Caenorhabditis elegans: one gene and its partner. The protein of the gene in region 1 interacts with the protein of each later gene in a biochemical or structural test. Each region holds a gene or a part of one and is shown on either strand. Other genes may lie near its edges.

Region 1 (5,156 bases):
GGTGGAGAAATTAATATTAATCAAAAACATTTTTTCAAATTCACAACTTCTGATCGCACTAGTAACCGGCTCACTTATAGATGGAAAACCTCTAGATCTAAACTTCGATCCCAATTGTTCACTCATCATGTGTTGAGTTTAATTTTAAGCCCAAATGAAATCAATTACCCTAGTTAGTTACAATTCTCATGCAAAGATTTTATTAACAAATTTCACTTCTTTATGTAGTTTATCAGTAGATACACATGTGTTTCGCGGTTTTTTAAATATTTATGGAATGTAGTTGAGGCATCAGCAATATGATGAAGCAAATATTTTGCACTAAAAGTCGCAATTAGCAATATATTGCTAGAATGTTGGTGGTCCCGCAGCGAGATTAGCGATTTGCAAATTGCATCTAAAATACTGGTGGCCATAAGTATTTTATAACGGCGAATCACCTGTGTCATAGCCTTTCTAAATTATTTGCACTTTCATCATAATTTTTTTTCTTGCGATTCTCTCCATTTTCCGTTCAATGAACGATTTAATACGCATGTTCAATAATAATAAAATTTATCCGAGAGGAGTACAGAAGAAAATTAACATCGCTGCGAGACCAATCGCTACAGTACTCAATGTCGATTTACGGAGGAAACATGTTTTGATTTCTCATTGTTTCTTTTGTCATTTTTTGTCATTTTAGTTTTAAAACTTAATTATCCTCTAATGATTTGCGCGGTTTTTTATTAAATTTTTGATTATTCTCGTAGCTTTTGAGTTAAACTAATTAAAAGTCTTCAGCTATGCTAAATTTTGCTTCCTTTTCTTGAATGAAAACCTAAAATGAACAAAATTTTTTGTCATTAAATAACAACGCTTCGGTTAACGCTTGAAATTGATATTCGGAAAATAAAAAGCCTGATTTTTGTTCGATTTCTGAAATATATTTCATGCTTTACCCGTTTTTAATTGCGAACAATTCTAAATTTGAAATATAATTTTCAATCAACGAAAAACAATTTTCAAGATAAAAAATTATTATATAAATTTAAGCTAAGTATTAATAAATTAATAAGTAATAGTATTCAAAAATCATAGAATCTTGCAAGAAAAAATGTTTTAAAGATTTAATAGTTCGAGTGATTGAAAAACGAATAGTACTTTAAAAAATAATGCTTTAAGGCAGAAAAGTGATATAAAAATTAAGCTCAAAAGGGCAAAAGATAAGGTTAATGTCCAGTTTTGGTTTTAAAATGGTTCGGACACAATGTACATAGTAGACATTTGGGTGTCCTCTTCCTTCTCTTTTCCCCATTGCGTCCACTGACCCTCCTTGCTGTATGTCTGCGCATCGTCTTTTTCTACACTTTTTCCTTTTCCCTGGCCCGTTCCTATCGGTGCCTTTCACACACGCGAGCGGCAGTGGACGAGACGGGAGGGCGAGGTGTTGAACAAGAGTACAGCAAGTGCGCGCCATCGAAAAAGCGGAAAAAAAAATTTCAAATGGCGCTACTTTGAAAATTGAGAATTCTGTATTTACTGCCAGTTTTACTTGCATTTAAATTTCCATGTTTTCTATTCTAAAACGAAAATCTATCTAAGAAAACCCTTAATAAAAACCTATAAATCATAAATTGTGATTCTTAAATTCGAAAATATGTTCGTTCAACTTGACGCCTAGAAATATGTGGACTTAATCCTGTTATAAATCAGTAGTTGACGACAAAAATAGTAGAGCAGCAAAAGCAGTTCTAACTTGTGAAAAACATGAAAGTTCTTGTTTTCGTCAAGCGAACGGGGGCTCGAGGAAGGACTTGGCACGTGTCTCTAGGCCATGTTTTTCTCAATTTTTGTTGCTCTAGAGAAAGCTTTTGCTATTGATTATGGGACAATCTTGGGGATATGAAGGTAACATTTTAAAAATAAGTTTAGGTAAATGTGTAGCATAATTTTTGAAAAAAAAAGCTCCACTGTTAAAAATGCCGATTTTAGGGATTGCGAAACGTTCACTATGTACACATAAATGGCTATATAATTTGAATTTGCATTCAATAAATCTTTTCCTTCCAATTGTATGTTTTAACTTAAAAATAATTAATTAAAATTATCTCAGGAGTCAAAAATGTCAGCTCAAGCAAGTCGTCAAAAGAAATCGGATCAAGAGCAGCGTGCAGCTGATCAAGCTTTGCTCAATGCAGCAATCGAGGATAATGCGATGGAGCAAGATGAAAACTTCACAGTTATCGATAAACTTGAGTCTTCAGGAATCAGTTCTGGCGATATTTCAAAACTAAAAGAAGCTGGATACTATACATACGAATCGCTGGCATTTACTACAAGACGCGAACTCCGAAATGTCAAAGGAATTAGTGATCAGAAAGCTGAAAAGATAATGGTGAGCATATCAAAAAATCAGCTTATTCGAGAATTAAAGAAAAAAACTAAAAATTCTGTGGCTTTATTTTTCAAAATCCAATTAATTGAATTGAAAGTATCAGAAAAGTTGATACATTTTTCGAGGTTAGCTCCGAAAAAGAATGAAACGATCAGCTGCAAGGTCAGTTTTGACGGCAAATCGACCAGCTGTGAACATGTAGACATCGGCCTCATATTTCAATGATTTAATTTCAGAAAGAAGCCATGAAATTCGTGCAGATGGGATTCACGACGGGAGCCGAGGTTCATGTGAAGCGAAGCCAGCTGGTGCAGATCAGAACTGGATCTGCTTCACTTGACAGACTGTTGGGTGGCGGTATCGAAACAGGCAGTATCACTGAGGTGAGTTTATCACGGATAAACTGACAACAGTACTCAATAAAACATTTATTTCAGGTTTACGGAGAATATAGAACAGGAAAAACTCAGCTTTGCCACAGTCTGGCAGTCTTGTGTCAATTGCCGATTGATATGGGAGGTGGTGAGGGAAAATGTATGTATATTGATACCAATGCCACTTTTCGACCCGAACGAATTATTGCTATCGCTCAGAGGTTTGTGATTGAGAATTATTCTTAAAAATCCTGAATTTGTCATAATTTGATCTCCCGACTTGAAAATTTAAAAAAAAATTAAAATTTATTTCGAGAAATCAGTAACATATTTTCTCAGTCTGAAAATAGCTGTTATTTTTGCTTGAACAATTGAAAAGGCCAAAAATGGTCTGCAAGTTGGAAATTGCCGTAAATGAACTTTCAGAGATGTTCCGGGTCTTTTTTTGGCGAATTTCAACTTGCAGGCAATTTTTTAGCCTTTTCCTTATTGTTTCAACAAATATAAGTTTTTTTTTTCAGATAAAGTAAATATTTCTCTATATTCTATCACTAAGTTTGAAATAAAAACGTTTGGAGAACAAGTCGCAATGGCTCATTTTGTACAATTACTGGTTTACGCCACATGGCTTGAATTTTGGCATTTGAGAATTTACCTTATTATGGATCTTGTAGCATTTTTTTGAATATCGAAGTAATTTCTTGCAGATACAATATGGACAGTGCTCATGTACTCGAGAATATCGCTGTTGCACGTGCATACAACTCAGAACATTTGATGGCTTTGATTATTCGAGCAGGTAAATCTAAATTTCAAAAAATAAAAAAATAAACTTTTTCGTGCCATAGGAGCAATGATGTCCGAGAGTCGTTATGCTGTTGTGATTGTTGACTGTGCAACTGCTCATTTCCGTAACGAATACACTGGAAGAGGAGATCTAGCGGAACGTCAGATGAAGCTCTCTGCTTTTCTGAAATGCCTTGCCAAGCTTGCCGATGAATATGGTGTCGCTGTAATTATTACCAATCAAGTTGTAGCACAAGTCGACGGAGGAGCCTCGATGTTCCAGGCTGATGCTAAAAAGCCCATTGGAGGTCACATCATCGCTCACATGTCTACTACCAGGTAAACATAGTTGGAGGTTTTCTGAAGATTTTGAACAAATAGAGAACATATTTAATTTTTTTATTAAACATTACATGTGGTCTTTTTGAGGATTTTTTAAAGAAGAAAAATTAAGTTATTCATATTTTCAGATTGTACCTTCGAAAAGGAAAAGGAGAGAATCGCGTCGCAAAAATGGTTCAATCACCCAATTTACCAGAAGCCGAAGCGACCTACTCAATCACGAATCATGGTATTGAGGACGCACGCGAGGACTAGCCGTTCGTTTTTCTTTTTCTTATCAAACTTCATCATTCATATCCCGATAAATATATCACATTTCTGTTTCTCTCCACACTTTCACGGATTCATCATGTTTATTTGGGTCGTTTTTAAATCTAGCGTTCTATGTTCTCTATGAAAAGTTTTCGCCTGCCCCTCATGTTTCACTATTCCGTTACATTCCTTTTTTGTATCTGTATTATATATAGGTTTGTGCATCTCTCTCTCTCTCTTTTGTTTTACCCGTCGTTTTGTATGAATCGTATAGTTGAACTGATTATGTCAGTATTGATAAGCTAATGTTCTTTTTAATTTATAAAGGTTTTCGAAACCTTTAATACTGTATTTTAAAAATGCGTGTTCATCATGTTAACCTAGCAATAATTCCAGATCCAACTAACTGAAATGGACATTGAAGCGGCCAAGAATGAGGTAAGATGATTATCTCTAATTTGCCTATTCGCAAAATGTGGAGTGGAATTTTTGCTTTGTAAAATTCCGGCAACAACAAAAAACCTTGAAAATTGCCTGAAAATACCCAACTGTCCGTACTTATGCTCTCAAAAGCGATTCTTATTATGCAATACCGACGGTCACAGCACATTTGCTGAACAGCTGTGTGACCCTTGCCTGTTGTCATCGTCTCATTCAAATTACTCAACATGATCTTGCCCTCTTTTGATCTTTACTATTCTTATTTAGGTTTTGAAATTTATTGTTAATATTTGTACGTCAGAGATGACTAATTGGCTCCTGATAAGAAAGTTCACTTATTTATGATATACTAGTTTATTTTTAACTGTATATCGTGTTGAGCCAAAAATTTATTTTCTGATTCTACATTTTCCGCTTTAGTATGGTAGATCGAGACATTTTATATGTTTTCCTTTTGCTCTTTCACTGCTCGAAATATATTTTGTGCAATGCCAGACTTCTAAAATCATCTATTCATTTTTTATCATGCAAAATTAAGAATACAGAACGAACAACAATTTCACTTATTTTTGTTCTATATCTCC
Region 2 (4,985 bases), on another chromosome or scaffold:
AAATATTTGAATTCTGCAATTAGTTTATTGTTGTTTTACAACCATTTCAATCACAAATTGGCAATTTTTGAAATCGGAGTATTTTTGTGAGAACGGTCCACAGCTTAATTTAAACCTATTTCACTACAAATTAATACTCTCCTATTGGATCCCAAAATAAAACCGTTCAAGCCACTTTTAGTGCTTAACACAATACAAAATGCTGTGTGAATTATTTCTTATTCAAAATATCTGACCAGAAATAGTACTTAATAAGAATTCCAATGAAAAAATGAATAAAATTATAAAATTTTCTGAAAAGGTAGTATTTAAGCAACAAAAGTAGTATTTTAGCAATGGCAGTATTCTAGCAATAGTAGTATTCTAGCAATTTGGTAGTATTCTAGCAAAGGTAGTATTCTAGCAATAGTAGTATTCAAGCAAAAGTAGTATTAACACAAGGTAGTATTTCAGTATTTGCCCATTTTTTACGCTCCTCTTTTCTAATAAAATCCACCAAAATTCTACAAATTTTCAGACATTCCGTGGCCGCCGCCGTGCGTCTTGCGACATCGAAGCCAGAGTCTTCCACATCTACAAATGGAACCGCCCGGCATTTTGACAACGCCGACGAGTGCTTCTGAAACGTCTGAGGATGGTGAAAAAGGTGAATTTTTAAGAGAAATTTGATGGAAAATTGAAGATTTTAGCGAAAAAAGTGCCAATTTTCATGCTCATGGGTCTGCTAATTATTTAGCATACCCAACTTTGGTCTGCTAATTATTTAGCATACCCAACTTTGGTCTGCTAATTATTTAGCATACCCAACTTTGGTCTGCTAATTATTTAGCATACCCAACTTTGGTCTGCTAATTATTTAGCATACCCAACTTTGGTCTGCTAATTATTTAGCATACCCATGGGTCTTTTTTTTTTAAATATTATTTTTAATTGAACAAAACTTTTAGGTAAATAAATAAAAATAAAATAAGAAGATTTACTGCTGATTTAATTTTTTTAAAAATAAAATTAATAGAGAATATACCAAAAATTGATACAACAATTTCAACGTTTTTCTGAAAAGATGAGAAATCCAAACGTGAACGAAAATTGACACTCAAATGACTTAAATAATTGAATAATTTCTATGAAAACCTCAATATTTCAGCAATTTTCCGCCCAAATTCAACTCGTCGAATGGCTCGAAGTCTGTTAATAACTCCATCGATTTCACACGATTCTCCGACTTCACTTGCTTCATTTCTATTAAATCCCCCCAAAAAATAGTCATTTTTGTTCTTTACCTGAAAATATTTTCCCGTCCCCTCTGCCTTTCTCCCACAAATTTTCTCAGCAAAATTTCGCTTGAAACTTCAAAAATGCATTTTCCATCCTATTATTTCTGACGAATTATACCCTAAATGTCAATTAAAAACCGGTTCCAACATGACTTTTCGTGCAATTTTATCTCTAAAAATGCACAATTTTATCCCAACTTTCTACTTAGCCGGTTACGAGTTTTTTATCCAAAAAGCCAAGTTTATTCTCCCATAATTCGCATATTTTTGTGTTTTTCAAAAAATTTCGAATTTTTTTTTGAATTTTTTTTCGAATTGTCTTGTATATATATATATTCTATGAGTTTCTTTGTGCCCCCAGCCCAATTATGATTCCGATAAATCCACCATGAGCTTTTTATTTAAATTTTTTATTCTAAATTTTTAACTACTAATTGTTCGTTTTTGCGTGTTTAACCTATATTTGAATTTATTCCAGATTTTCAGAATTTCCACGTATCTTTTCAGGGTTTCCCATGAACCGTACACCGATACGAAGGTGCAAATCTGCAGAAATAGAGGAAGATCCGTTTTCGCCTATTCCAAAATTTTGTAGGTTTTTTGTATGGAAAGGCAACGTGGATTTCAAGAAGAAACCAAAACATTTTGGAAAGTTTGAAAAAAAAACCCAGAAAATTGAAAAAGTTCAGAATATTTTAGAACCTCTGAAAACAGCGAAAAAATCCGTAAAATTTGAGAAAATTTCAAAAATAAAATGAGATGTTTAATAAATTCAGAAAAATTCAAAAAAAAATTCCGGAAAAATTTCAGCAATTTTTGGAAACTCAGGAAACAACGAAAAATCCGGGAAAATTGAAAACAATTTTTAGAAATTAAAAAAAAATTGGTAAACTCAAAAAATTCCGAATAAATTCAAATAACTGAAAAAAAACTTCAGAAAATTCAAAAAAAAATTCCGGAAAAATTTCAGAAATTTTTGTAAACCCGGAAACAGCGAAAAATCCGGAAAATTAAAAAAATTAACTCAAAAATTCCGAACAAATTCAGAAAACTGAAAAAAAAAACACTTCTGAAAATTAAAAAAAAAATCGAAAAAATTCGAAGAAAATCCCGAAATGTACTTCCTTTGAAAATCCAAAAATCAAGAAAATCGTTTTTAAAAATCCTAAATAGTTGAAATAAAAAATTTTGAAAAGTAAAAAAAAAACTAAACTCAAAAACTTCCGAATAAGTTCAGATTACTGAAAAAAATTCAGAAAATTCAAAAAAATTCCGGAAAACATCCTGAAATTTTTGGAAACTCCGGAAACAGCGAAAAAATCCGGAAAAATTGAAAAAAAATTAGAAATTAAGTAAAAAAATAGTTAACTCAAAAAATTCCAAATAAATTCAGAAAACTGAGAAAAAACACTTTTGAAAATTAAAAAAAAAATCGAATAAAATCCCGAAATGCATTTGCTTTGAAATTTCTTCATTCCAAATAAATTTTAAAAAAAGAGTTTAAGAGTTAAAGTTCTTACTGATGCGTTGAACTTATCAAAACTCTTCAATAATATATTTTTTTTAATTCGACGATTTTTTAAGAGATAATTAAAATTTTCAAATTTCCAGCACGATTACGAACGCCTCGAACATCTCGAGAATACGTATGTCCACTAAAATCCACATCACCACAATCCCCATCATCATCGACTGAAAATGAGCCGCCGCCCGTCTCCGTTACATCACCACCTGCGAGAAAACGGGCACTTGAGGAATCCACGGTGACCCCGATACAACAGAAAATAGGGCCGCCTGTGCTTAAACGGAGTTCTTTGAGCAAATTGGCCGATGGATTTCGGACAGCTGCATATTTGAATAATGAAAGTGAAAATGACGATGATCCATTTGGATTATCATTTCGAAATGAGCAAGTTTTGATGTCAAAATGTGCTCCAGCACCAGAAAAAAGGCCTGAAACACTGACGCTGGATCCATCAAAATGCCTACCAGAACGTGATATGGAAATGTACAGAAAGATCAAAAAATTGGATAAATTTTACGGTAACAATTATTAAATGTTGGAAAAAAAATTTTGAACTTTCACAAATTTTTTGCAGATTGGCAACAAGAATGTCTCTCCGACAAACGACTACTCGATGGAGAAAACTGTATTCTTTCCCTGCCTACCGGAGCTGGAAAAACGCTAATTGCTGAAGTTTTGATGCTACGAGAAGCTATTGTTCGGAAGAGAAACGCTATTTTAGTGCTCCCATATGTAGCTATAGTTCAGGAAAAGGTATACCATGAAAATGCTTGAAAATTGAAGGTTTCTAGCGATTTCGAGCTATTTTAGACACCTTTTTAGTGATGGGCCTGCTAAATAATTAGCAGACCAAAGTTGGGTATGCTAAATAATTAGCAGACCGAAGTTCGGTATGCTAAATAATTAGCAGACCGAAGTTGGGTATGCTAAATAATTAGCAGACCGAAGTTCGGTATGCTAAATAATTAGCAGACCGAAGTTCGGTATGCTAAATAATTAGCAGACCGAAGTTGGGTATGCTAAATAATTAGCAGACCGAAGTTGGGTATGCTAAATAATTAGCAGACCGAAGTTCGGTATGCTAAATAATTAGCAGACCGAAGTTGGGTATGCTAAATAATTAGCAGACCGAAGTTCGGTATGCTAAATAATTAGCAGACCGAAGTTGGGTATGCTAAATAATTAGCAGACCGAAGTTGGGTCTGCTAAATACGTATATTTCCAGATATCAGCGTTGGCTCCATTCGAAGACGCATTTGGCATAAATATCGAAGAATATGCATCGAATAAAGGAAGATTTCCGCCGATAAAACGTCGAAAACGAGTATCAGTCTACGTGGCAACCATTGAAAAAGCCAATATGCTCATAAATTCTCTCATTACTCAAGGACAACTGGATCGAGTTGGAATGGTCGTTGTGGATGAGTTACATATGATTGGAGATGGTGGAAGAGGCGCAATTTTAGAACAGTTACTGGCGAAATTTCTGTACAAAGGCACCGGCCAAATAGTGGGAATGTCAGCTACTTTGCCGAATATTGATGACCTGAAATTCGCGTTGAGAGCTTTTGTGTATAGCACCAATTTCCGACCGGTAAGTTTCTTGAAAATTTAGAATTTTCGTGAAAATTCGAAAAAAATTCGTGAAAAAATCCAGAAAAATCCAATTTTCCTAAAAATTATGTTTTACAGGTAGAACTCACGGAATTCGTAAAAATCGGGCAAACGATGCACCAAGTTTCTGAAAACGGAGATCTGAACCCCGCTGGGGATCTCCCTACAAATGTAAGCGGACAATTATAGAAATTTCAAAAATTGAATAAATTTTCTTCAGAATCTAAAATCAACTGATCCAGATGGAATTTGCCAGCTGCTCGCCAAGCTCATTCCCAAAAATTCGGCCGTAATTTTCTGTCCGAACAAGAAGAATTGTGAGAATGTGGCTGTTTTAATTGCGAAAACTCTTCCAGCGTAGGGTGCCACGTGTGGATTTATTTTCTAATCATAAATTAATTTTCAGACATATTCGACAAGCTAAAAGAGCTGAAAGTGATGCATTTCTGCAGTCCTACTTGTCGGATAACGATGATGAACGGATGGATGCTGTGCTGAAACAGTGTATTCTGTCAGGAGTGGCCTATCATCATTCGGGGTTAACACAAGATGAGCGAAAATGTGTTGAG

Evidence for each region. Proteins that work in one complex are often made in the same cells at the same time.
Region 2: the proteins of rad-51 (region 1) and helq-1 form a complex in vitro, tested with the Caenorhabditis elegans proteins (one study listed by BioGRID).

The regions. Positions count from the first base shown.
Region 1 is NC_003282.8:10,280,954-10,286,109, reverse strand, and holds rad-51 (DNA repair protein RAD51 homolog), read left to right. Parts: upstream 1-1,865; coding exon 1,866-1,890; intron 1,891-1,974; coding exon 1,975-2,054; intron 2,055-2,095; coding exon 2,096-2,377; intron 2,378-2,613; coding exon 2,614-2,760; intron 2,761-2,814; coding exon 2,815-2,972; intron 2,973-3,458; coding exon 3,459-3,550; intron 3,551-3,599; coding exon 3,600-3,876; intron 3,877-4,007; coding exon 4,008-4,134; 3' UTR 4,135-4,476; downstream 4,477-5,156. Other genes in the region: thk-1 (Thymidine kinase), read left to right, coding at 4,543-4,569.
Region 2 is NC_003281.10:583,905-588,889, reverse strand, and holds the start of helq-1 (Helicase POLQ-like), read left to right. Parts: upstream 1-1,784; 5' UTR 1,785-1,792; coding exon 1,793-1,868; exon of another isoform or gene 1,869-2,888; coding exon 2,889-3,320; intron 3,321-3,376; coding exon 3,377-3,555; intron 3,556-4,027; coding exon 4,028-4,396; intron 4,397-4,494; coding exon 4,495-4,587; intron 4,588-4,636; coding exon 4,637-4,773; intron 4,774-4,822; coding exon 4,823-4,985. Other genes in the region: Y55B1AR.2 (Flocculation protein FLO11), read left to right, coding at 518-623. UniProt on the Caenorhabditis elegans protein: Single-stranded 3'-5' DNA helicase that plays a key role in homology-driven double-strand break (DSB) repair.